Linked DNA regions of Tribolium castaneum. The protein of the gene in region 2 purifies or fractionates together with the protein of the main gene of each other region. This does not show direct contact. Links are inferred from orthologs where the notes say so. Each region holds a gene or a part of one and is shown on either strand. Other genes may lie near its edges. The genes, in order: icln, SmE, U2 snRNP-associated SURP motif-containing protein, Sf3a1, calcium homeostasis endoplasmic reticulum protein, 7SK snRNA methylphosphate capping enzyme bin3 and probable ATP-dependent RNA helicase DDX20.

What was found.
Region 1: the proteins of SmE (region 2) and icln purify together in Homo sapiens (affinity purification with mass spectrometry; 5 studies listed by BioGRID and IntAct, counting the BioPlex papers as one, with this or other methods). This does not show direct contact. The link is inferred for Tribolium castaneum from reciprocal best matches to the Homo sapiens genes SNRPE and CLNS1A.
Region 3: the proteins of SmE (region 2) and U2 snRNP-associated SURP motif-containing protein purify together in Homo sapiens (co-immunoprecipitation; 3 studies listed by BioGRID and IntAct, counting the BioPlex papers as one, with this or other methods). This does not show direct contact. The link is inferred for Tribolium castaneum from reciprocal best matches to the Homo sapiens genes SNRPE and U2SURP.
Region 4: the proteins of SmE (region 2) and Sf3a1 purify together in Homo sapiens (affinity purification with mass spectrometry; 3 studies listed by BioGRID and IntAct, counting the BioPlex papers as one, with this or other methods). This does not show direct contact. The link is inferred for Tribolium castaneum from reciprocal best matches to the Homo sapiens genes SNRPE and SF3A1.
Region 5: the proteins of SmE (region 2) and calcium homeostasis endoplasmic reticulum protein purify together in Homo sapiens (co-immunoprecipitation; 3 studies listed by BioGRID and IntAct, counting the BioPlex papers as one, with this or other methods). This does not show direct contact. The link is inferred for Tribolium castaneum from reciprocal best matches to the Homo sapiens genes SNRPE and CHERP.
Region 6: the proteins of SmE (region 2) and 7SK snRNA methylphosphate capping enzyme bin3 purify together in Homo sapiens (affinity purification with mass spectrometry; 3 studies listed by BioGRID and IntAct, counting the BioPlex papers as one, with this or other methods). This does not show direct contact. The link is inferred for Tribolium castaneum from reciprocal best matches to the Homo sapiens genes SNRPE and MEPCE.
Region 7: the proteins of SmE (region 2) and probable ATP-dependent RNA helicase DDX20 purify together in Homo sapiens (affinity purification with mass spectrometry; 4 studies listed by BioGRID and IntAct, counting the BioPlex papers as one, with this or other methods). This does not show direct contact. The link is inferred for Tribolium castaneum from reciprocal best matches to the Homo sapiens genes SNRPE and DDX20.

The regions. Positions count from the first base shown.
Region 1 is NC_087394.1:28,289,380-28,291,951, forward strand, and holds icln (methylosome subunit pICln), read right to left. Parts: upstream 1,294-2,572; 5' UTR 1,278-1,293; coding exon 1,159-1,277; intron 1,107-1,158; coding exon 964-1,106; intron 915-963; coding exon 571-914; 3' UTR 501-570; downstream 1-500. Other genes in the region: Upf2 (regulator of nonsense transcripts 2), read left to right, coding at 1-324; transcription initiation protein SPT3 homolog, read left to right, coding at 1,516-2,409; uncharacterized protein LOC103312536, read right to left, coding at 2,461-2,572. UniProt on the Homo sapiens protein: Involved in both the assembly of spliceosomal snRNPs and the methylation of Sm proteins.
Region 2 is NC_087394.1:32,141,404-32,143,967, forward strand, and holds SmE (probable small nuclear ribonucleoprotein E), read left to right. Parts: upstream 1-1,413; 5' UTR 1,414-1,630; coding exon 1,631-1,915; 3' UTR 1,916-2,064; downstream 2,065-2,564. Other genes in the region: kelch-like protein 21, read left to right, coding at 2,184-2,317, 2,367-2,526. UniProt on the Homo sapiens protein: Plays a role in pre-mRNA splicing as a core component of the spliceosomal U1, U2, U4 and U5 small nuclear ribonucleoproteins (snRNPs), the building blocks of the spliceosome.
Region 3 is NC_087403.1:337,146-341,257, reverse strand, and holds the start of U2 snRNP-associated SURP motif-containing protein, read right to left. Parts: upstream 2,801-4,112; 5' UTR 2,631-2,800; coding exon 2,613-2,630; intron 2,563-2,612; coding exon 2,446-2,562; intron 2,396-2,445; coding exon 2,299-2,395; intron 2,250-2,298; coding exon 2,060-2,249; intron 1,448-2,059; coding exon 663-1,447; intron 47-662; coding exon 1-46. Other genes in the region: arrestin domain-containing protein 3, read left to right, coding at 3,745-3,853, 3,900-4,112.
Region 4 is NC_087397.1:12,575,687-12,579,186, forward strand, and holds the end of Sf3a1 (splicing factor 3A subunit 1), read right to left. Parts: intron 1,493-3,500; coding exon 1,352-1,492; intron 1,303-1,351; coding exon 1,152-1,302; intron 1,102-1,151; coding exon 926-1,101; intron 876-925; coding exon 702-875; intron 650-701; coding exon 548-649; 3' UTR 490-547; downstream 1-489. Other genes in the region: xylulose kinase, read left to right, coding at 1-174, 280-486. UniProt on the Homo sapiens protein: Component of the 17S U2 SnRNP complex of the spliceosome, a large ribonucleoprotein complex that removes introns from transcribed pre-mRNAs.
Region 5 is NC_087395.1:15,663,928-15,667,938, forward strand, and holds the start of calcium homeostasis endoplasmic reticulum protein, read right to left. Parts: upstream 2,801-4,011; 5' UTR 2,795-2,800; coding exon 2,645-2,794; intron 2,639-2,644; exon of another isoform or gene 2,519-2,638; coding exon 2,487-2,518; intron 2,408-2,486; coding exon of another isoform or gene 2,359-2,407; coding exon 2,237-2,358; intron 2,186-2,236; coding exon 1,795-2,185; intron 1-1,794. Other genes in the region: uncharacterized protein Theg, read left to right, coding at 2,877-3,779. UniProt on the Homo sapiens protein: Involved in calcium homeostasis, growth and proliferation.
Region 6 is NC_087395.1:19,351,113-19,355,249, forward strand, and holds the start of 7SK snRNA methylphosphate capping enzyme bin3, read right to left. Parts: upstream 2,801-4,137; 5' UTR 2,646-2,800; intron 1-2,645. UniProt on the Homo sapiens protein: S-adenosyl-L-methionine-dependent methyltransferase that adds a methylphosphate cap at the 5'-end of 7SK snRNA (7SK RNA), leading to stabilize it.
Region 7 is NC_087394.1:23,207,160-23,211,249, forward strand, and holds the start of probable ATP-dependent RNA helicase DDX20, read right to left. Parts: upstream 2,801-4,090; 5' UTR 2,708-2,800; coding exon 2,521-2,707; intron 2,474-2,520; coding exon 2,300-2,473; intron 1-2,299. Other genes in the region: Aps (diphosphoinositol polyphosphate phosphohydrolase 2), read right to left, coding at 3,325-3,519.

The DNA.
Region 1 (2,572 bases), about 3.9 Mb from region 2:
GAAACGGAACCCAACAAAATCGGGTTCGTGCTAATGGTCCGCAAAGGAAACAAGCAGCAATATAAAAATTTCGAGGCTGATATCAACTCCGAACTCGCTCAGAATCTGAGGGACCAGGAGTTGGCTCAGAAGGAGGAGAAGGAACGAGTGAAGCGCTTGACGCTGAACATCACGGAACGGTTTGAAGAGGAGGATTATCAAGACATGATGCAGCAGCAGAACAGGCCCGTGACCCAAAACTTGAACCGCGAACGCAAGAAATACCAGCACCCCAAGGGGGCGCCCGACGCCGACCTGATTTTTGGACCTAAGAGAGTTAGATAATGGGAGGAATTCAGGATGAAATGGTTGAATACGATTAAGGGTCAAAGAAGTTCAGAATGTTTCAGAAATAGATAGATTGTTTCGTTTTTAGTCTATCGGAATTGAGAATTGTGAAGGAGAAGCAAGGAATTTCATTTTTTGTTTCGTTCAACATTGTTTTCTGTTGGAATAAAACCTTTTCACTAGTCAGTGTTTTATAAAAAATGGATTAAAATTAAAGATACAAAACCTAACATAATTCAGGGATCAGTCTGCATCTTCAAAATCCTCATCCTCGTTGCCATTCCGGTAGCTGTACTGGACGTCGACTGAGTTGTTTTGTAGCCTTTCGGCCAAACTGTCGACAACTGCGTCCCCAATCTGCTCAGACTCTGCTTCTATAAACATTTCTTCTTCTGCGTCCGCGAATAAATTATCATCGTCCTCGTCGTCAACATCGGCAGGATCGGGATTGAGTTCTTGGCAAATTTTTATAGCCTCGTAAATACTTTGTACATGTGTGGGGTTTTCGGGGGCTAAAATCAGCTCCGAGAGGTCTGGCTCTGACTCAACGTCACTGTCATCATTTGCGGGCCTTTGGTCAGTTTCTCCTACAAAACGACGCACAATAAACCAAATTTTGCGCAAAAAATTACAAACCAAACAAATTTATGTGGGGGTCAGTCAAAATATAAATACACTCCCTCTCGCACACGTTGGGGTCTTTGGACACCGCATGGAGCGAGACGTTGTAATATTCAATTGAAAAACCCGTAGTCCCGTCTTTTTGCCAACTGAGTGTCCTGTAATTTAACACAATGTATTTTTCGTTTGGTTTTGCCATAATTGTGTTACCTTTCGCTCACAAATAGGGTTCCGGTGCCCAGATCACGTTTATCCAAAATCACCACAACGTTTGACTGCTCGAGTCTTATAGGAGATTCTGGTGGTTTAAACGACGTGACCACAACCATTCTTCCTCCACTTTTTTTCGCAAAACGTGTTTATTTTTCAAAATTATTGTAACCACAAACTATGGCGCTTGACGTTTAACTTGGGGATTTTTATTTTCTTTTGGCGGCGTTGTGAGCTAAGGACCAATCACGGGCTGGTATTTTGAACCGGCTGTGTTTGATTGGGGAAAAAAACCTGTTATTCTGTGGGGAAAATATTTGTTGTCAATTGAGGTTAGGTGTTTGTTGACAAAAACTGATGGATTCCCAAAAAACAACCTTTTGTAACGAAATCTCGCTGATGATGTTTGGGTTCGGCGACAGCCACAAGCCGAACCCCGAGACGGTGCGTTTGGTGGAGAGCATCGTGTTGAAGCAGCTCCGCATGATCGTCCAGGAAGCGCTGAAGTACTCCGATGGTAAGAACCTCAAAGGCAAGGAGTTGGTGTTCCTAATGCGGCACAATAAGCACAAAATGCGCCGCTTTTTCCAATATTTGAAAAACAAGCAACTCAAACAGCAACTCCAGTCGTTGAACTCGGGGGTCATTGAAATTGACAGAGATCCCATACCGAAGAACGAGCTAATGAAGTTTATCGAGTACATAGACGAGACGGGAGAATTCACCGATTTATCCGAAGTTGATGAAGTCAAACAGTCGAGGATGCTGAGGGCTGATCGCATATCTCAAGCCCTGGACGAGAAGAGGTATTTGGAGTTTTGCAAAGCGAGAGCCACCTCGTTTTGCAGTAGAGATATCACGGCCCGAAACTCCGAAAAATTAAGACAGTGGATTGACCCGAAAAAGGAAATTAATTTCAGCACTAATGCTATGGTGGTTTTGTCGTATTTGGGGTACCAGACAGTTGCTGAGATAACCGATTATGCGTTGCTTGTGAGGATGGAGGGCAAATGTGGGAGTGATCCACTGAATCATTTATACGGCAATTACTACACTTCTACGATGTTTAATGGGGATTATAGGATAGGGGCTAGTGGTAACAATCCAGACTATAGCAGGGTTTACAGTGGACAGCCCCCCATTAGTGTCAATGAAATTAAAGAAGTTATGAGAAGAATTCACTGTCCGCAAGCAGGGAAGCTGAATTTCGGGGGAAAACTACCAGACACGCATTATCTATTTGCTCTGTAATTTGTTCTAATAAAGTTTAATTTTTTAAACGGTCTTTTATTTATCCAAATATTACGCTGCAAAATTTATGTGCAGCGAATCCATTCTCGACAAATTTTTTACGAAAAAAATAGAGATTATGCAAGATGATATTGAAGCAACCGATGTTATAATTTCTCTCGCC
Region 2 (2,564 bases):
AAAGCTAATGAAGAAATAACTAAAAAAGAAATAGTGACCTAATAGTGCACTTAGAGTCGCCCTGACTGCCTATAGAGACGCTGTATCTCTATGCCATTTGAGCATTTGAAAATTGGGAAAAAACACTCAACCCCTATGCACAGATTTCATATAAATGATCCTTTGGTCCTTTGGGATCGGCTAGGGCTCATTAACATCAATTTTGTATCGTTTTGGCATTAATTTTGAGATTTTTCTCGCCTAATTCTAGTTTTTGGGGCTATTAAGACTCAAACAACACTTTACACTTCATCACAGTTTGGAAAATATAAATAATATAAATAAAAATAATCTCCGGTGCAAATAAAAAAATTAAGGTTCAAAGAGGTTTTGGGCCGCAAAGGTGTAGCACTTACCTTACCCAAATTGAAAAATGTGTCTTTTGAGCCGGTTTTTCCCCGAGTATTCTCCATAAACACAGTCAAGGGGCAGGTCGTTGTGCGCATCGCGCCAGGTCACAGTCTGCGCGCCCGCACTTTCAAATTCACAAATATTCCACAAAAACAGGTGCCCCACTTTGCATTTTTGAACCACCCAGTCCAAATAATCACTAGTTTCGTTCGATTTTCTGAGAGATAACAACACTGACTGACAATCACGCGATGACAACTGTTAAAAGCAGCATCCATTTGGTGCAAAGTCAAAGCACTCTTGGCAATTTTTTCTTAAGTGTGATTTCAGGCATTTATCTAACTTTTTGAGCAAAATAACCCTTCCTATTCAGTAAAGAGTTGATTTAAATGTCGTTTCACATCTTTATATCGAGTTTATAGCTTGTCGTTTTTTTCTTTAAAGTCACGTAAAATTATCCCGCCAAAACCAAAATTGTGTCATTAAGGGTAACAATGACAAAGAAAGACCTATTGACGATTGTGTGTGTGTAAGACACGGCGCAACTCCTCATATTAGCTATTTCAAAACTATAAAAACGCCAACCTCGTATTTTCTCTCAAAATTAGTTGTTATAAATTATTTATGCACTTCAAAAAACTAATAGGTAATGTTATTTATAGTCTCAATGATTTATTTATTAATAACTATTTTACATTTTTATCAACCTTATTAAAAAAAAATTGAGTTTATGAGACACCAAGTTCAAAAAAAATATATAAAAAACTATCACGTCAAAGAAAGCTAAATGAGAATAAAAAAAATTTTTTTCGAGACATTTACGCCCATCTGATGATAATTATGGAATAACTCAGCTTGATTAGTTAAGGAAAACCCAAAATATAAATTGTGCGACTATAATTCTGCGTGAATAATTTTGGAAAAAAAATGGGACGTTGGTGTTTTTATAGTTTCGAAACAGCCTAAAAACGACCAAACCACCAGACCTTTTTCTGGTGTATTTCAGCTCGTCAAGCTTCCCGCGTTCCACGATTGCCAACAGAATACAGAACTCACACAGATAACCTTACTTTGGTCGTATTGTAAGCGTCGCCTCATTTTTTAAGTTTTATAAATACTATTGCAAACTTTGAACAAGTTTTTTTCTCTTAATACGAATAATTCGTGCTGTGTGAAAGTGTGTTTGCACTTAGCTTCCTTAAAGAACTTTTTTTGCCGGTAACCCAAGACTCCTCTAACCATGGCGTACAAACCACAAAAAGTTCAAAAAGTGATGGTACAACCCATCAACTTAATTTTTCGTTACTTACAAAACCGTTCACGTGTACAAGTGTGGTTATACGAGAACATTAATCTGAGAATCGAGGGGCACATTGTGGGTTTTGATGAATACATGAATCTTGTGCTGGATGATGCTGAGGAATATTACGTTAAAACGAAGAACAGGAGGCAGCTGGGAAGAATCATGCTTAAAGGAGATAACATAACGCTGATACAGAACGTGAATCCTCAATCAGGCAATTAGTTGTAAATTGTAGCGTAATTCTAAGTTTCATAACAATTTTTTCATTCGTTGGAGTAATGTGTTTGTATGAAAACCGCAATTGGTCTTAGTATTAAGTGATTCATCAACTTTCTGTAAAAGAAATGCGGACATTAAAATTATTTTAGTAATTATGTCTATTTTTATAACTTCAAAGTCCTTAAAATTAAAATGTGATGGACAATACAGGTAATTATCGCTTTTTTAGAATTGTGAAGCTTGTAGGTGTTCCAATATATTTTTTTTGTAGGGGGTAAAGCTGCGACAGGTTTTGTCGAACGTTGCGTCAGCTACATTGGCGAAAATGCTGTAGAATGTGTAAAAACAAACTCATTTCTTTCTCTTCCCAAAGAAGCAGTCTTAAAATTAATCTCCTCAGATTATGTAAGTTTTAAAATTTTACTTAAAATCATTTATTACTGTTTCAATTTAGCTCTGTTTGGAGGAAGAGGATGTCTGGAGAGCAATTTTAAACTGGGCAAAGTACCAAGCTGGTGTCACCCAACCCACAGCCCATTGGACTGAAGAAGAGAGGGCCAGAGTGTGCCAGCACCTCTCACATGTCATTTCTCACGTCCGCTTACTTCTGATTGGTAAATTAAATTTTTTTTTTCTCTTATTTATTTGTAAT
Region 3 (4,112 bases), on a different chromosome or scaffold from region 2:
CCGGCAGTGTACGAATTCATCAGAGGGGGCTTCCAAATTGAACCGTCTTCGCAAGCAAACAAGAAATGTTTTAAATTATATAATTCTATTACAAAAGATCTAGATATTTTCTTTCATAATTTCCGACCAAAAACTCTACAATTCGATCTATTTAGTCTCTTTTTCTTCGTAATTTATAATGTTTTGTACAAGTGTTATGTCTCTATTTTGTCAGTTTTTTCTTTTTTGGTATTTTTTTACATATTTTATTTGTATTGTTTATATATTGTAACTGTAATGACTACTCGTCCATTTATATAATTTTATCCATACGAATTACATACAATACAAATGTCCTTCATATACTTCAGAGTATACGTCATTTTTTAAGAATAAATGTTTTTAAAGGTGACAAAATTTACTGGAGGATATAAAACCAGAACAACTTTAAACGATAAAAAGAACTTTAAAGAAAAACACAAATGGTATTATTTTTATTGCTTCTGTGGATTTTCTTTAAAATTCAATAATATCCCAACTTTTTTCAAAGTTTATTTGTATCCGTATGTTGTGTATCATGTCTTGACGGAGATTATAATTTTGCCGTTTGAGAGCGTTTTCGCGAAATCTCCACAAAATTAACACGTTTTAGAGCAAAACCGTCCAAAACACCAAATTCTTACTTTTGAAAAGTCGAAACTCTTTGACGCTCCACTCTTTCTGTGAATCCCCGTGCATGATGGAGTAGAGTTTCCACCGGTAGTAGATATGAGCCGGGCTTTGATTTTCGAAAAGAAACCTGTAATTAGGGTTGTGTATCTCCCGGTTCATAATCATAGCTTCCAACATGGGCCCCTCCCGAACCACAAACTCGACCATTCTGTGTATCAACATCAACAGATTTCTATCGGTCGGAATCACAACTTTGACAACACTGCGCCCCAAAATCTCGTTCAGTTCCTCTGCAGATTTGGGCAGAACGTCCTTATCCCGGGCGCAGGGCTGGGCGTTGAAGGGCAGTCCTGAGGGAGGCGGAGGGAAGGACAGTTCCAGGAGCGCGGGAGGGATGTAAATGGGATGTGGAGGGATTATTACCGATTTTCCCCAACCAAGTTTCATTTCATAACCTAGGATTTCTTTGCCGTTTAAGTTACGAAGCGCCCTTTCGCCGTCTTTTCGGCTCATGTAGGCCACGAAGCCGCAGTTGCGGCCCCGGGCCTTCTCCTCGTCCGAGCGGGGCCACATTATTTTAATACTAGCAAGGGGGCCGTAACGACCGAAAATTTCCATCAACTGTTGCTCGGTTATTTTGGGGTTGAGGTTGCCAAGGTAGAGGTTTGTCGTTGTGGGGTCGCCGTTATCGAACGACCCCAAGTCACCGCTCCGCAAAAACATGTCCAGCTCGGACTCCATGGGGGTCCTGAGCACCCCTTTGTACTTGTGTCTTTCCTCCCGCTCCTCCTGAATCCTGGCAAAAATTTCATCAAATTGTGCCACAAAACAAGAGACCGGTCAGAATAGACATTTCAATTTCCAAAAATTCGCATAGCGGTGAAAATTCGTACAGGACTTATGTAAACTATGACAAATAAACTATAAAAAAACTCCCCACCGATCCGACGTGTGCTAAAAAAATATTTTAATAACAATAATAATTTATTTATCCTTAGAAAATTTACATTAATTTATAGGACACGTCAAGTAATAAACTCATCATAACTGTTTTATCAAGATATGGTCAAATAATACGCCTAAGTATTTTATTGTTCCTAAGTTTTCAAAATTTATATTACGGAGAGAGAAAATCATTCATTTTGTTTTGCGTTCATTTAAACATAAGTACATTTGCAGACCATACAGGCGCTTTTTCCTGCATTTGGCATAATTCCGGCTTTACAAAAAAATGCAAAAACCGATACTTTTGTCCTTTGACATTGAATAACTTTTTTAGCACACGTGGGATCGGTGGGGACTTTTGATATTTTATTTGTAATAGTGTACCTAAGAACTGTACCAATTTTTAGCTCTACGCTTATCACTACATTTTTGTCTATTTTGACCAACTCAATGGTATATTTACTGTCTTAATTCCTCTTTAAACGCCTCTAGGTTGCTCTTAGTGTGCTGTTTCTTCTTCCCTAACCGTTCAGGCTTCTTATCTGAGATTAATTTAGCGTAAAACTGAGCTTTTTCCGTTGATGCCATTAATTCAGTGGGGGCTAGTCGGGACTGCGGTTTGTACAACTTGCCCTTGTCTTTAGTATCCTCCTCTACAAAAGCCCAATTTATTTTTGATTTTTTTCACAATTTAAAAAATACTTCGCGCTCCTGCATCGTAAGTCCCCGCTTTGACCCACACTTTACTCGAGCTGCTAATAGGGGACTCTTGGAACGTAGCGACAAATTCCTCAAAAACCTTAAATCGAAGAGGTTATGTAAAAAATACTACTGTATTACTAGTCCTACATGAGCCGCAGCCCGTTCCTCTTCTTTTTTCCGTTGTTCCTCTAATTCTTTTTTAGATAACGAACGTTTCCCCATCGTGCCGATCGAAAAAGCCTTTAATTTTTGCTCAGGAATGTTCTGTTACGAGAAAAACGTTAGTTTTGAGGGGTTTTATTAGGGTGAACTACCTTTATTTTATCACCCATTTTGGACGCAATTCCCACCAAACACTTCACAAAACGGTTTTAGCTAATTAATATTGAAGGAAACCTAATAATAGTCATAATATAATTGTTTAATTTCCTGATATGAAAAAATAATAATACACTGGTGGTTTTAGGGAGTTTGCGTTTTCATATTGTGGGCTATTGGCGACGCTGACACTGCGTGTAAACGTTCCCAAACTTTGGGCGAAAATACATGAACCAAAAAACAACAAAGTTAAAACAATATCCACACGTTTTTGTACTTTTTGTAAAAAACTAAAAAACTCGAAACTAAAAATTGATAACGTAATTATGTAACGTTTTATAAAAAATGGGTGTATTACGTGTTGCCTACAAGAACACTCCAAAATCTCGTAACTATGTTTATTTCAAAAATAAACAAAATGTTTGTGTTTACTGTAATTATTCAAGTCATTAGCTTCATTATGTGTTTATCATTTTCACATAAATCGTCCTATAAACTCATCAAATAAAAAATATATATAAATTAATAAAAAACGCAGACTGTTAATTAATATTTGTATCAACAAAAAAAATCATTACTATTTTATTTTCATTTTATTTTGGGAAATAATAGTCTCTACGACATGTGAATCGCTAATTACATAATCACTACTGCCAAGGCCGCTTTAGAGGTCGCCGCTCATTATTAGTATTATTGCATAACAGTGCACTTGAATTGCAGTTTTAGGGCGAAAAACTGTTTTCGTAGTCATCGATAGAGTAGTGTTTACGTGTAGTCGTATCAGCATTTTACGTTATCTCATTCATTTAGTCACAATTCTCCTTCCTTGTTTACTTCAATGGCCACAATTTACGACCTCTTCGTCTCACATTAGTGGGATGGGCTCAAATATTTCAACCAGTTTTTATTTTTAATTCAATTCAGTGGCGCCATTCAAGGCTGAATTCTCGTCGAAGTGGTGAAAAGAAATGAATTACGTCTAATTACGCCACGGTTTTTCTTCACTTAGGTACGTGGATGATTTATAATTGATTTATTAAAATAAACTGTCTCATTCATGAAACACTAAGGTAGGTTAGGATTTTACGACACATTTTTATACAGGGGGTGATCCACAATTTGGGCGAAATGTCTCAAGTTCGCATTTGTTTGGAGAATTATTCTGGGACATATTATGCCGGATCTGAGATTAGGGGCCGGCTTGAGTGTTATTTTGATGAAGAGACTACTGTTAGAGGTGCATTATGATTTTTGTAGCAATGTGTTTTTACATTTTTTTCTAGGAATAAAACTTGAGATCATATGTAGGGAACATAATGAGTGGACTGGGACTGAGGAGTATAAGGACCCAACAGACAATTCCACTAAAACACGACATATTACTTTAACCGGGGATCATGACGTGTTTCATGTTAAACAGATGTTGTTTGGGTCTGAATCTGGGAGTCGGGAGGTGTCTAGGGGGCGCCAAGTGTACCCTTTTTCGTACCATTTAC
Region 4 (3,500 bases), on a different chromosome or scaffold from region 2:
GTCGAAGTCCGGGCTTTGATTGAAGGACAGTTTATCGCAAGACGGGCTTACGTCGAAGACATTGGATTTAAATTGGACAAAGAAACGAAGATTCTAGCAACGGGAGGTGCTTCCAATAATAAAGCAATTCTTCAAGTGCTTTCGGACGTCTTCAACGCACCTGTTTACCTCCTAGTGAGTATTAACTTTTTTAACTAGCGTTTTTATACTGTATTTAAAAGTCAAAAAGCCGCTGCCATTGTCAAAAGTATAGAAAAAATAACTATGTAACTCATGTAGGACGAATCGAAGTCGGCCATGTTGGGGGCCGCTTATCAAGCGAAACACGGACTTTTGGGCTCTCAAAGTAACTACTTTGAGATTACGTCATGTCTCCCCCCACCACGACTCATTTGTCAACCATATTCCGACGCTAGTGAGATCTACGAACCAATGGTTGCGCGATATAGAAAGTTGGAGGCTATGCTTTTAGGAAATAAAGTCTGAATATACGTAATAAATATACCATTCTAGTGATAATTTATTTGAATTCTTGATTAAATACACTTTATTTTTTGCGACCACCTCTTTCCTTCACTTGTAGTTGTATTACAGCCCCCGTGATGATATTATAGTAAGCAAGCGTGTTTGAATCCTTGAAAAACATGCCCTGGAAAAAACAAATAAGTAACCAACAAAAAAAATTTAATAATTAAATTTACATCATAAAATAATTTTTGTTTCGCCGGAGGCATATTGGTCTCTTCCTGTATTTTCGATTTGATTGAAGAAACACTTTCGGAAAGTGGGACATTCAACGCCATCATTTGTCCCGTCAATTTCCATTCTGTCTTTTCGGGAACCACCGGAATGGCGATTTTAATCGAAACAGGATTCTGTAATTTAAAATTGTAATTTTGACATGCGCACACTTGATCAAACGTACCGGATTGCGTGATAAGAAAACTTCTTCAGGGATGAGTGAATCCTCATTTCGCATTTTTTTATTCGACGGTTCTTCTTCCGGTTGCGTCTCACTTGGATGTTTGACCGGCATTCCGCCCATGGGTGGCATCTGGGCCATGGGTGTGACAAAACCGGCCATGGGTGGAGGTGCTGCCACTAATGAAAAACTTAATAACTTGTTTCATTAAAAGCAAAAAAAAACCTACTCATGAGTGGTGGTGGCCGCATAGGAGCCATAGGCGGCGCTGGCATCATCATAATGGACGTCTGTTGTAGCATCGTGGCTTGCTGTGGAACCTGAACGATGGTTTGAGTTTGTGTTTGCATAACTGCTGATACCGGTGTGGTTTTAACCGGCTAAGCAATATATACAAGTGAGAAATGAACGGAATCTGTTCATACTTACCGGGTTTGGATTTGCGAGAGGTTTCGCAGAGATTATAGCAGCGGCAGCGGCCGCAGCGCTAACTTTAGCCTGGGCTTTGCTACCAACCACGTTTTTCGGACCGATCTTCTCTTTCTCCTCGTCCGGCAATAGCCCTTTCACCTAAAAATGTTTGTTTGTTTTTTACTGCACCGCAATAGCCATAATGACGCGACATGTGCGTCTCACCAACAAAGAAAAACGACAAACTCTAGAGCCGAACCGAGATAATAATTAAAAATCGAAAATTTCGAAATTACAGCAAACAGACCGACAATAAGAGTAACTAAAATAAAAACATCGTGAATAATGCCTTCTCTTTTCATCATAGAGATGGGAGTTTAAAAAATCACAGTTAATAATAAAAAACAAACCCAGAAATTAAAGATTATTAGAATCGTAACATGTAAGAGTATTTCACATAAAGTATAATAATTAAAAAGTTAAAAAACACGGCACAGTACACGGTTATCATAAGCCCACCTCCAACGGAAAAAAAATTTGTTTGATATTTGGATGTTATTTATGTACACGCTGTTCCGTCTAAACCCCAGATATATTGGGAATTGGGAGTTCTAAATAATGATAGTTATCTGAAAATTTGTATACAACCATAATCCGTTAAGTCTGATCAATGAAAATACTTTCAATAAGGTTATCCCATAAGTAGTTATCAACTTTCTTAATTTAAATGGAAAGCTATTTATGTTTTAATAATGCATTTTTGGATTACTTGAGTTATTTTAAGGGAGTTTTTAATAGTTTTTTTATACTTATATTTAATCGGTTTCGAAATATTTAGTTTTTTGAAAAATTTTGATTTGCATCTTTGACTTGAAAAATCTGCTTTTTTTTAATGTTTAAATCCTTTTTGGCTTGTTTGAAAGAAAAAATCTTTTCTTTGGTGTCTTCACACTAAAAAAGTAAGTTGCAGCACTCCAAATACCAATAACTCAAAATTTTTAAATGAAATTCCACAATTTTTATTTCACTAAAGGGTAGAAAATTTAATTTTGTATCAATTCCATACAGTTATACGAATTTTTTTGTTGGTATTGAGAAATGCCATAGCGCTTTTCGCATGCGTTGCCATCGAGGTTGCCATGGAATCATGAGTAAAATACAGGTTGTATCAAAAATACGTGTTTCTTTTGTGGAAACAAGTCGGTCAGTGTTTAATAATTAGTTTGTATTCATAGCAACAATTTTTATTGTTATTTTAAATTGTTTACATGTTCCGTTTCTATCACAATGAAAATAGTTCGGCTCTCTTATTTTTGTACCCATAGGCAGGTACACGTTTCAGTATGTTATCTTTTTCCAAATTTTAAGTAAATTTGCGAATTTTTTGTTGAAAAATTACAAATAGAATGTTTTTATATTTGCTGAAGTCTATTACCTGTCAAAATTAAGACACGTATTCCTGATACACCCTGTATAAGAAATCTAAAGTTTTTCAAATCTAAATTCAATGAATTTATTTGTTTTAATGGAAAGGAAAGCAAAATTTTGAACAGAGCTTATCGCTTATTCAGTGAGAAATGTTTCCTTGTAAAACTCTGCAAAAATAGCTCTTGCTAGTAAGGAACCTCGGGCAATGTCAAAAAAAACCAACATAACTTAAAAATTATCACAGATAGGTATAGTTAATGCTAATACAGATCGTTGAAGAATTACATTTTTCCACCTACTGAAATAAAAATTCCATTTGAAAAAACTGATATATAGCTTGTAGAAGTGTTCAAATATGTTAAAATTTTAAGGTTTGTAAACTTTTTTCCAATTAGTTTGATTTCGTCGAAGATGGTGCTCAAAAACTGGCGCACCAACTCAGTAGTACGTTATTGAGAAGCAAGTGCAGATTACGGGAAAAATGTTGAAAAAATTCCTAAAGTCATATTTTAAAAAATCTGGAGCTACAAACTTATTTTGTTAACTTCTTCAGTTCTCATTTTTTTTATGTTTTTATTTTCATACCAGGTAATCGATCCGTAACAAAACGATGAATAATTATTTTTAAATTTTCTATCAGACTTTAGCAGTTTTTTTAATTTACAAAAATTAAAATTTATCCAAAAAATCACAATGTGTAGATGTGACAACACTGGGAATTATTTCCTAGGAAAACGTT
Region 5 (4,011 bases), on a different chromosome or scaffold from region 2:
TAGCGACTTGATTCTTGCAAATTTGTATTCTGCCGGTCATTTTACGTTAGAAACACTCAATTCTAAGGGAATAATTATGAAAAGTTGGAAAATAATGAAGAAAGTTTGGTTTCAAAAAATTTTGACGAGGCTAAATTTTTGACTATATTTTCCGAACGGTTAGTCGTAGCAACTTGATTCTTGCAAATTTGTATTCTGCCGGTCATTTTACGTTAGAAACACTCAATTCTAAGGGAATAACTATGAAAAGTTGGAAAATAATGAAGAAAGTTTGGTTTCAAAAAATTTTGACGAGGCTACATTTTTGACTATATTTTCCGAACGGTTAGTCGTAGCGACTAGATTCTTGCAAATTTGTATTCTGCCGGTCATTTTACGTTAGAAACACTCAATTCTAAGGGAATAACTATGAAAAGTTGGAAAATAATCAAGAAAGTTTGGTTTCAAAAAATTTTGACGAGGCTAAATTTTTGACGATATTTTCCGAACGGTTAGTCGTAGCGAGTTGATTCTTACAAATCTGGATTCCGCCGGTCATTTTACGTTAGAAACACTTAATTCTAGGGGAATAACTATGAAAAGTTGGAAAATAATGAAGAAAGTTTGGTTTCGACAAATTGTGACGAGATTAAATTTTTGCCGATATTTTCCTAACGGTTAGTCGTAGCGACTTGATTCTTGCAAGTTTGGATTCCGCCGGTCATTTTACGTTAGAAAAGCTCAGTTCTAAAGACATAACCTCGAAAAGTTGGAAAATAATGAAAAAAGTTTGGTTTCGACAAATTTTGACGAGGCTAAATTTTTGATAATAATAATAATAATAATAATAATAATAATAATAATAATAATAAGTATTATTCGAAGATAATTTTAATTTTTTCACTTACAACAACTGGGCTAATTTTATTAGAAATTACAAAAATCCTCCTCTTAATGTGTATTTAATGAAATTAAAAGGCTTTTTAGACTTTTGGAACATTTATTTGAATTTGAATGTAACTTCACCTTGTTACAAGAAAAAAATTGAGGATGGAAGGTAACTTAAATTATCAGAAGTTATTTGGTTTCAGTTAAGAAAAGCAGAAATTATATATTTTTAAACAAATTCTACAGAAACTTTCAAATGTGTCAAATTAAGAAGAAAACCAAGAAAGTCTTTAAATTTGCCTCAATTACTCCTCCAACTTAGAAATCAGCGCAAATCCATCAGTAAAGCAAAATACTTGATGACTGAGCTTAATTGGACACCAGAGGAATATCAAGACTTTTACAGAAATCTTCCTTATATCCAAAATGCTCAAGATTTTTCGGAAGACAATTAACCCATTTACAACAAAAAAATCCATAACAAAATAAAAAATAATAACGAAATAAATAATAGCGGGTATTTTGTAATGAAACCGTTAAAATTTAAAGGCAGTTAATTATTGTTATAGCAATTCTTAGATTTCCGATTTTAACCAGTGTTGAATTTTAACAGCCAGTTAAAAAAGTTACAGAATACACGCTAATGTTAGGTAAAATTGTGACATTGGCTATTAAATACGAATTTTTATTTATTTTAAGTTAGTCCTGAATATTGAGGTACAGATTTAGCGCCTAAATTGCAATTTTGTTTAATGCTCAATTCTGATAATATGAGATTATTACTTTGCTCTCTAAAACTATGCCTGATTATGATTAGTGTTACGTTAATAAAAAGTTGTTTTCTAAATATTTTTTTTTAATTTTTGCTCCAATAAGAAAATGGTAGCCCCTATTTAGTAACTTTCCTCTGAGAATACCGGCACTTACTTTGTTAGTAAACAGTGGACTATGCAATAAGCCTGCTCCTTGCTGTTTGCATGTTGCAGAAACCAAGACTTGCCGTTGCTTATACTGTCCTTCGTGCAACTCTCAATAATGGGTTGCAAAATATTGTAAATGTCCTCTAAAATTATATCACAAGCTTCCGCCTCCTTCTGCAAAGCTGCGGCTTCACACTTGGCCACCACAGCCTCAGCCTGGGCCTGCTGCTGTTGCAGCAACACCGTATGCTGCGCCGACAGATTCTGCTCACTTTGCTTGATCTGCTCCCTCAAACTGTCTTGCTGCATTGAGATTTGTTCAATCTCGGAATTGTGCATCGTGGATGGCGAGTTCCAGTTATTCGGACTGTTCTCCAAAATCCCCTGCTGCTTTAGCACTAAAACGATCACAATGCGGCGCAAGTTGCACGAAAGTCGCAATCAAATACCTGCTTGCTCCGTGGTGACTTTATACTGATAGTAATTGTAATACTCTCCTCCATACAGAAACTGGAACTTGGGGTTGCCTTTCTGCTTGTTTTTGGTCATCTGTTCGAACTCGGGCCCATTTCTAGCAACAAATTGGGCGAGTTTGTCGATAATATTTCTTAATTCAGTATCTAACAACAAACATAACCTCAATCGTCTCGCATTTGCAAGGGAAGAAAACCGGCGTTTTCGCGAAGTTGGGGCACCTACCTTGGGGCGGCTGCGGCAAATCCATTGCAATCCTAAGTTAAAGCATACTTTATCTCAGAAAACTCATTAATTCGGGAAATATGGGATTATTTGAAAATTGACAAAACGCTCTCGAATGTAGGAACACTGACACGCAGTTCGGCCAACGTAACACTCACCACTTGTTGGGCAAACGACCTCAAAACTAGCACTTTTCCAATTAAAACGGCCCCAAATTTGATACGCTCGGTTAATAGAACACTTATCAATAGATTTTGGGTAAAAATAATCAAGTTTTTGCGTGTTTTTGCAAAACTTTGCCGGGTCATGTTGGCGCCTTGCGGCGCGCAATTTGAATCACCTTGGAGATCAAGTCAAAATTCCTTCAGTCATTTCATCAAAATCATCATCATGTTAAAATTAGATATAATCGTCCACCCCTCATTCTCCGAACCTAAAGTAACCGCGTCCGAGCCTACAACCAAGGCCCCCAAGCAGTGGAAATGGCCCTGGCGGATAAACATGCTCAGCGTGCCCCGAATCCGGGTGCCGAAGTACGCGCCTCCGGTCCCCAAACCGCCCAAAACACCGGAACGCCTGGACCCCGGAATCGAATTCCGCAGCGACCACCTCTCCAGGCCCCCACTCAGGCTGCTTAACGTGAACCTGACCACGTACAAGCGGGGCCCCAAATACGCCAAAAACCTGACCAAACTGATCGACAAATCGTGGGGCTCCATATACAACTACTACCGCAAACAACTCAGAGACAGGCGCTTGAAGCGACTGAGGCGCAAGTTGGAGAAACTCAAAGCAAAGAAACCGAAAGGCAAGTCGTTGGAAAAAATCCAAGCCATGAAGCAAGAACACTGGAACCGCATGGCGCAACCCAAGAAGATCCCGCTTCCTGAGAAAATCCCCAAGAAGTGGAAGCCGCTCGACGACCTCCTGGCCAACATCGACGTGCTCGCCGCCCCCAAGGAGTACCACATCGTGCCCCCGAGAGTCCTGGGGGTGGTGAACCCCAAGGCCCTGACGTACGAAATCACCGAGGCCATCCAGAAGCTGTACCACATTCCTGACCGACTTAAGAAACAGCCCGAGGGGTTACCGCTCGGGTATGTGAAGAGGTCAGCTCTGAGGGCGAAGTGCAACGAGAGAATTGACAAACTGGCCCTGCCTTCGTTCAGTGCACGCGAGGCTAAGAAACACGACGAGGACAAGTACGACCCTTGGGTCATCTCGCCCAACGCTCTGAAGTACAAACCCACGGCTAGGATACTGGAACTGGCAAAGCCGTCTGAAAGAGAGTAGCTAGGTATTTACAATTTATTGATCTAAAGTTATGGACGCAAATAACATTGTGTAACAAAACAAGCAATTAAATTATTCTCGCATGAAAAAGGGTATAAATAAAAAGTACACCTACTCAGATAATAAAGATAAAATAACAGTAAGGGGTCTAATGAAAAAATCCTAGTGTGCCTAAAATAATTAAGTACTCAATATTAAAAACAATTATTTACAGTGTCTCACTAAAAAATAA
Region 6 (4,137 bases), on a different chromosome or scaffold from region 2:
GATTCTTCTTAGTTTTTTTTAAATGTTGTCTAGTAGGTATTTCGTCTTTTGCAATTATTTAAAACCTTCTTCCTAATAAGACAATATTATTACTTAAGTTCTAGCTGTAAAGACAAATTAGTTAGAAAAAAATGGCCATTTTACATTTTTTTGTAATTTTGCAGTAAGCGAAGGGTTACACCGTTGTTTTTACCAACACCATGTATAAATATTTTACCCAAAAAAAATCTATCGTAATATTTCATTTATTTCAACCACTTGCAAGCAATTTAATTATTATCTCTTAAAATCAACTGAAAACTTAATTTAATTTATTTTTTTCAGAATTTTTCTACAATTCCTTAAGCAATTATAGGCCGGTTTATAGAAAACTTCATTAATTTCTAATTCGTTGTTAAAACTTAACAACGCGAATAAACTAATCACAGGCGAATAGACTAATCACATTGGTTCAATTTGGTCACGTGATCTGTTAATCAGTGAAATTAATGACGCTTCTATAAACCGGTCCTAAAATTTATGAATTATTAATTATTATTAACTGTTATTTTTTGTGTCATCTGAAAACAAGCAATACTTAAATGTTGTCCTGTGATAAAAATCCATAAAAAATGTCGCTAGCCCCAAAAATAATAAATAAAGTTATAAATTCAAAATTTAAATAAACGTAATTTTAGGGCTACCAAAATTTATTTTATAAGAATTTTTGCTCGAAAACATTTAGACATCGTTGTTTTAGAATAACACTAAGGGTCGGTTTATAGAAAGCTTTATTAAAATATAATTCTTTGGGCGCATTTACCAGGTTTATAGAAAGCTCAATTAAAGTTAACTGCCTTGTTAAAAGTTAACAACGCGAATGGACCAACCAAATTGCTTTAATTTGGTCATGTGATCAGTTAATCACGCATTTAATTGTGGATTAAAATAATGACGATTCCATAAACCAACCCCATTTTTTTAATTTCATTATATTAATACAAATTTAATAAATTAACTTAACGGTAATTCAAAATTACCGGACAATCTCTCGGGTGCGGATAAAGGACATCAAAGAGAATTAAAAATTCCTATGACAAAAATTGTTTTAGCCTTTTTCCACGAGCTATAACTACTCAAAGTAGAATTTTTCAGTTAAGTTTTTGGTGATTCAGATTACATGTTTTTTGACGTTTTGCGTAAACGACAAAAAAATCAAAAATTAATGTCATATGATGTACAAAACAATTAAAAAACTCGCAAATTCGCTAATAAATAAAATTCGACATCATAGGAAACAAAAGAGCAAAAATCGATACACCTGCTAAAGAAAACAAATTAAAAAATATATAAAAAAATGACTTCTTAGAAAAAATATTTAACTTCATTTTTGTCCTTAATTGAATGTCTTTTATCACCATACGAGAGTTTGTCCGACACTTTTGAATCACCTTGTAAAGAAGAGTAAAAAAATTTGGAAAAATTTCACATACATAGCAAAAAACTTAATAGGCCGGTTTATAGAAAGCTCCCTTAAATTTTAATTCGTTGTTAAAAGTTAACAACGTGAATAGACCAATCATTTGTTCACGTGATCAGTTGATCACGCATTTAATTGCGAATTAGATTATTGACGCTTCTATAAACCGTCACTATGTATTTAACAGTGAATACTGAATGCGGTGCGACCATTAGTTTCTGAGAATAGTGAAACATACTTTTAGCAGACTCACCCCGTATATACTCAACTATTTCTTGGTTTCGGCACGGTTTGAAGCTTGGCTATATTTTCAATATGCAAAATGTCAGTTGTAACAAGATCTAACGTGTTGGCAACGAAGTAATCATATATTATATGCCTGGATTTTTTATCAATGAAATATGTAAAAATAAATAACCCACACGCAATATCAACGATAAAAGATTCTTATTACAAAAAAAGTAACAACAAAACTGCCATTATTCATGCAAACATGCATTTTTGTCAAACAGCCAAATTACAAATTAATTACAAATATCTGGGTGTAATGTAAGTATATTGACAGAAGATAGCGATTAAATTCGACTTAGGTGACTTGATGATAGACATTTTATAAATACTCTGTATTCTTGTACAAGCCGTTGCGTGTATTCTGATTTTTCGGTCGCACTTCGGTTACAGTTGTCTAAGATCAAGGATTTGACTATTTCTAATTTAATCCGTCAACACATTAAATATTTATGACCAATCTAAATGCACCAATAACTGCAATAAATTATTCTTATCGTAATCGGTATAATACACAACACCTCAAATAAATCAGATAATTAATTACCATCGATTAAATTAATTAAACTAAAAATGTGACGTTAAATTCCGGCCGGAGCGTATAATAAACGTCCGGATTCCCGCAATTTGATAACAAACCCGCGAAAGCAGTGTTCAATTAGGAACCTTCCCACTGAGCAAACTCCCGACTAAATAACCCTCTCCGAAGTTCACCTCAGCGGTGGCCCTTCTAAATTTACGAAAATTTCGAAAAAGCCCGGCACCCCAAGTTCCCGCAAAAAATCGGCACTGCGCACGCGCACACCGGAACAAACATGTATGCCACTGCGGAGATCGACGTTGGCTATCGTTTTGGGCGAAAACTCCTCACAGATTACATAAATGTCAAAAAATTTACCTTCAACGTGTCCGGCGTGGCTTCAGCTTTCGTTTGATGCCCTTTGAGGGCCACTTTTCCCTTAGGTTCCGCTGAAAAACGGCCGAAAAAGAGACTTCACTTTGCAACGCACCGTCTGAACGACTACAAATCGTTGTGCTTGTAAACTAGACTCCATTTTAATATCAGTGCCGGAGTTTGCCGAAGCGGAGCCGATGAGGGACGATGGGCGATTTAGCGAGGAGTTGAAAAGTGTTATGTTCCTAATTATGTAATTTTCGGGTAATTGGGGAGGTAACCGAAAGGTATTGCGGATGATTGCGTTTTTTCGACGTTCTAAATTCGCGACCTAATTAACCGGAATTGATTATTTGAAAATGTGTCGATACGGTCCTGGAGTTTTATTGGCGCAAATGATCATAAATTCGAACCACTTATAATTATTGGGAAATAATTAGTTTTTCCTGCTGAAGGAGTGGCTGAATTCACAATTGGAAACATTCTTGAAAAGTTTTGTTTATAGTCTGTTGTAACACCTGCTTCGAATGCACTTCGTAAATATTTTTGGACAATATATTTGTATTTTATTTTTGGATGACGTGCCAAAATTGCTTGTCTTCCGTTGTACAAAGTGTGTTATTTATTAGTCATATTTATAGGATCTCGATGTGATGTTTACCTTATTACTCCAATGCGAAAATAGATATTTAAGTTTGAATGCAGCTTTATAGTTTATGAAACCATCTTCTGTATCTTTTCGATCGGACTTTTTATGCTTTATCTAGTAGTAATTTTTATTTGCAAAATTATGACATGTTAAAGGTGAAAATGGCAAATAGTCTTAAAAAATTTGGTTTGTATCTTTAGGTATACTAGAAACATAAATAATTGTCGACCTTGAAATAAATTTTTATCAGGTTATTAGTTTTTAGACGTTTTACGAGCGGTAACTGGACAACTGGCGAAATATCTATAACCACAAAGTCAGTTTTTCTTTTCATAATTTTATCTCTTTCAAGAAATATACAGGCTGCTCCAAAACTGGTGCACCAGCTCACTGGTAAAATGTTGGAAAGCATGTGTAGATCATATGAAAAATCTTGAAAAAATTCCTAGTCATATTCAAAAAAATATGAAGCTACAAACTTAGTTTACTGACTTCTTCAGTTTTCATTATTTTTTAATGTTTCTATGTTTCACACTAAGTAATCGTTCCCCAACGTAATGAATAATTATTTTAAAAATTACTATCTGACTTTAGCAGTTCCTTGGATTTAAAAAAATAAAATTTATCCAAAAATCACAATTTGTAGATGTGCCAACATTGGGATTTCCTATGAAACCACTTCAAAAGTTATTCATTTTTATTGTTGATCGGGATCTATTGCGATCTCGATTGTTAGACAACGTTGCCACAATCATTTCTTTAAAGTTTGTTATTTACCAATTAAAAAAAAATATTTTTACCTTTTTATGAAAGCATTTCTCTACCGCGTAGCATTGAGTTGGTGCG
Region 7 (4,090 bases), about 8.9 Mb from region 2:
TAAATCATAAGAAAGTGTTATTAAATAGTAGTGACACATCGTTTTCAGTTTTCTGAACATTTTTTATGTAATTAAAATCTGCGACGATCGTATATTTGTTCTATTGAAAATAACTTTAACATAACTTATTTTGATAATTTCAAATTTTTTACTTTAATAACCGTTCACAAAATTTCTAGATTATTCACAGCTTATATGTGAAATAATTTTTCCATGGCCAACTGCTTTCAATATGTTTTTTATTAAAAGTATATAGAAATATCAAACTGTATTTATATTGTTTTCAGTTCAGAAAAAAAAATTTTTTCGAAAATGTCATAGCCAACTATGATTCCTATTTAAAAAATTCAATTTTATGTTGTTACAGTTAAACAAATAATTAAAAAAAACGCTGATAACATTGTTATATTCTCTGCATAATGTGTGTCTTAAATGTGTATCTTTTATAATAAAAAAGATATGGGGTTTTTAGGATTTTGCTAAAATGGCAACTTTTATTTATAAGTCGAAAACAACCGCGGAAAGCGGTTTTGACCAAAATTATTTCTCAAAAATTGGACCTGAGAATGTGTCACTCGTTTTAGTCTAAACCTCTTATAGTTTCGAAGATCCTATTTGGACATCCAAAATGCAGCACCCTGTATAGTCGAACAAAATAAAAATAAAACGCGTCCATAACCACCCCCGATCCCTTGACCACAACCAACCAACCAACCCCTACCATAAATTATTAGAGATCGTAAACTAGTGGTTCAATGAACTTACAACTGATAAACATTTATTAATTTTCTTAAAAAACAAATGAGAACTAAAAAAATTTTCAGATTCGTTGCCATGTTTTGTCACTAAAAATAAATAAATTAGTTGGATGTTTTGTGGTTCACTTAAAAAAACAAATTATTTTCGGAAATAAAAAAATTGTAGTAAATAATACTTAGTTATAATTAAGACACGATTGAGTTCGAAAATCTCGAAGCAAATAAGTGGCTTAAAGTCCGACATCAAGTTGCCATTTAAAATTCAATGACAAAAAGGTAAAGTTAATTCGAATTAAAATTAAAATGTTTTTTAAATCGACACAAACTTATTTGGCATTAACTAAGTAATACAATTTTTTTTTGACCTCTTAAAACCTGATGTAACGAACTTGATTTTTTTTATTTTTCGTTTGTTTTAAAAAAAATTAATAAATTAATGTTTATCGATTTTAAGAAAAATTGGAAAATTTTGGTCTCACCTTATCTCCTATGGTGTTAGGTATTCTTAAATTTTTCTAATGAACCTTATTTGGACCTAAATGGTCAAAATTTTAATCAGGGTATTTCCATAAATGAATTACCCTAACGTCCATTGATTACTTTTATTCCAGTCATACCAAGTTTTTGAAACATTTAATAAACAAAAATGTTAATAAAACCGATTGTGCAATTAATAATTGAAACGATGAAAAGTATAGACAGACGTCTTTACCTGTAAAATTTAAAATACAATTTTATTAGATTACTACATTTTTGTTTTATCTTGTTTTATGCACAACGATTCAGTAAGTTTTATATCGTTAAGAAATAAACTATGTATAAAGACAATAAAATTTTTAGTTACAGTTTGTAACAATGAAATTTTAAAAATAATTATTATTTTAATTTAAAATATTTTTGAGCAGTGATCATTTCGCGGTCAAAGTCTTTAATGAAAAATACTACACCGATTACACCGCAAAAGATAGTGAAATAAAACAGTTTTTTAATTGTCACGTAATTTTATTTTTGCAACAAAACCTTTTAGTTTACGAAAACATATTAAACAGCACTCCCCAAATATAGTAAAAATTTAATTAACCTTCAACTCTGTTCATTAATTCGCAATGATAATAATTTAATATAAATGAAATAAGAATCCGTGTTTTATCACGTTTGTTATTCGGCAAATTTTAGTCGCATAAGTATTATAGTTATTTAAGTTTCAAGAACGGTAAGGAGATTTTACCGATCGAAGAGGAGCAGAAAGAGGAGGAGAAGCGTAGCGTTACACCTCACTCGTGTTCAAATAATGTGTTTTCGTACTTTGAGGAAGTAACTATTATTTCATGTTTGTCCTAGCCAACCATTTACAACAAGGAATTCTTCAACATTTCAAAATGTAGAACAACATTCAAAACTAGTTGACGATCTCTAATGATTTATTACAGGGGTTGGTTGTGGTCAAGAATTTGGTGTGGCACCGTAAACGTTCGTTTATGGACGCATCATTTTCATTTTGTTTGATTGTATGTTCTTTTACAAAAAAAAAAAATAAAAACCATTTACGTGACAGCCCACGCTGCGCAGAACGTCTTCAATTTGCACAGCTATTTCCCGCGTCGGGACCAAAATTAAGACTTGTAAATGGTCTTTGGCCGTATTAACAGTCTCAAGAGCAATTGTTGAGAACACTAAAGTTTTGCCGGTCCCGGACTTGGACTTCACAATTAAATCTACAATTTTCGATTAGTTCTAGTCCTGACAAAAGTGACAAACGTACCAAAACCGCATCGTCCTAGGGGAATGGCTTTGAACTGAATTGGAGACGGTTTTTTGAAACCACTAACCGAGAGCCCCTGTTTTATGTCGTCGGGGAGTAGTAATGACGCAAAACTGATGTTTTCGTCGAGAATTACGTCTTTTGTGCGCTCTTTTGCATCTAAATCGTGAGCAATGGTTGGCTGCATTATTAAATAAATTAAAACTGTCTAACCATAAAACTAACATAATTTTATAACCTCAAAAAACAAAAATTTGACGTTTCGTGATCGTTTGATGTGTTACAGAAATCTGTAACCGTACACGTACTAAAATATTTTAATTTTTAGTAAAACTATCAAGCTTTGTTATGTAAATAATTGTGCTACTTTTAGTTGCTAGAATTCATCATTTTGTATTTAAAATTGGTAAAAAACGTCTCTGAAACAGATAAAGACTGATTTGTTGAAGATGATTCCTGTAATGCCGACGTGGTGTTGGGATCGAAATGATGGCGCCAGTTTCGAAATGACTAAAATGAGTCGGTATTAAGTAACATTTTATTGTTCTGATATTCAGGTTATAACAAAAGGCAACAAAACAATAAGAAAGTACTATAATAGTCTTAAATTTAAATGAATTTTGTAAACAGAACGGCGTAAAAAGAACAATACCTCACTAAAACCGAGAGCATTATTGTTGCAGAAAACTACGAAAAAATCGAATTCAATATCTTACATATAGTCGAATTTTCTTTAATAAATAAACCCATAAAACCTCAAGCACATGTTTGACAGTAACAGTGTTTTTAATAATAAAACAAATCTCATGTTAGTTTCGAGCGTCGTAACTGTTGGAGGTAATTGCGTTGCACCGGTTTATGCAGCGCGAGCTGTTCTAGAGCCTCTTCTATCGTGAACCACTGTCGCTTCCTTCCTATGGTCTTTGAGTCTTCCCATTCGTCTAATTCTTCAGTTACTGTCATGACATACACTTCAGTCCTGTCTTTGTGTTCTAAATTCTGAAAAAAAGAACGTTCAGTAGAATCGGACACTTTCTTAAACTAAAAAAATAAAATTAAATTAACTACTACACGCTCTCTCGAAACAGTACCGAAATTATCGTAATCCCCCATTTAATGAATTTTTTGCAATTTTGAGTGAACATTGTCAATTTCTTACATTAGGGAGAGTATGTGGTGATAAATACTAGCTTTGACTTTAATTGTGGGGTTTTGCGTGGTTTAAAGTGTTTTTTGTTGGAATTTGAAAGTGGATAAAAAATGAAAAAAATAGTTCTAATTAATTTAACCATATTATCCATGCAAAGTATAATGACAAATAAATTCAAATCAGTTTAGTTCCCAATTATTAAAGTTTAATTCGTTTTCAAATTATAAAAAAATACAGGCTATGTACAAATTGGCGCGTAAAGTCTTCAGTACGCTATAGCACACGTTCCAACAAACATTAGAAAAATATAGTAATACCTTGTTTATCCAAAGTCAATAAAACCAAGGTTTCAGACGTAAAGATTTGGACTGTCAAAAAATCGGATTATTGAGTATACTTGAAGTATGTAGAACTTTTGTG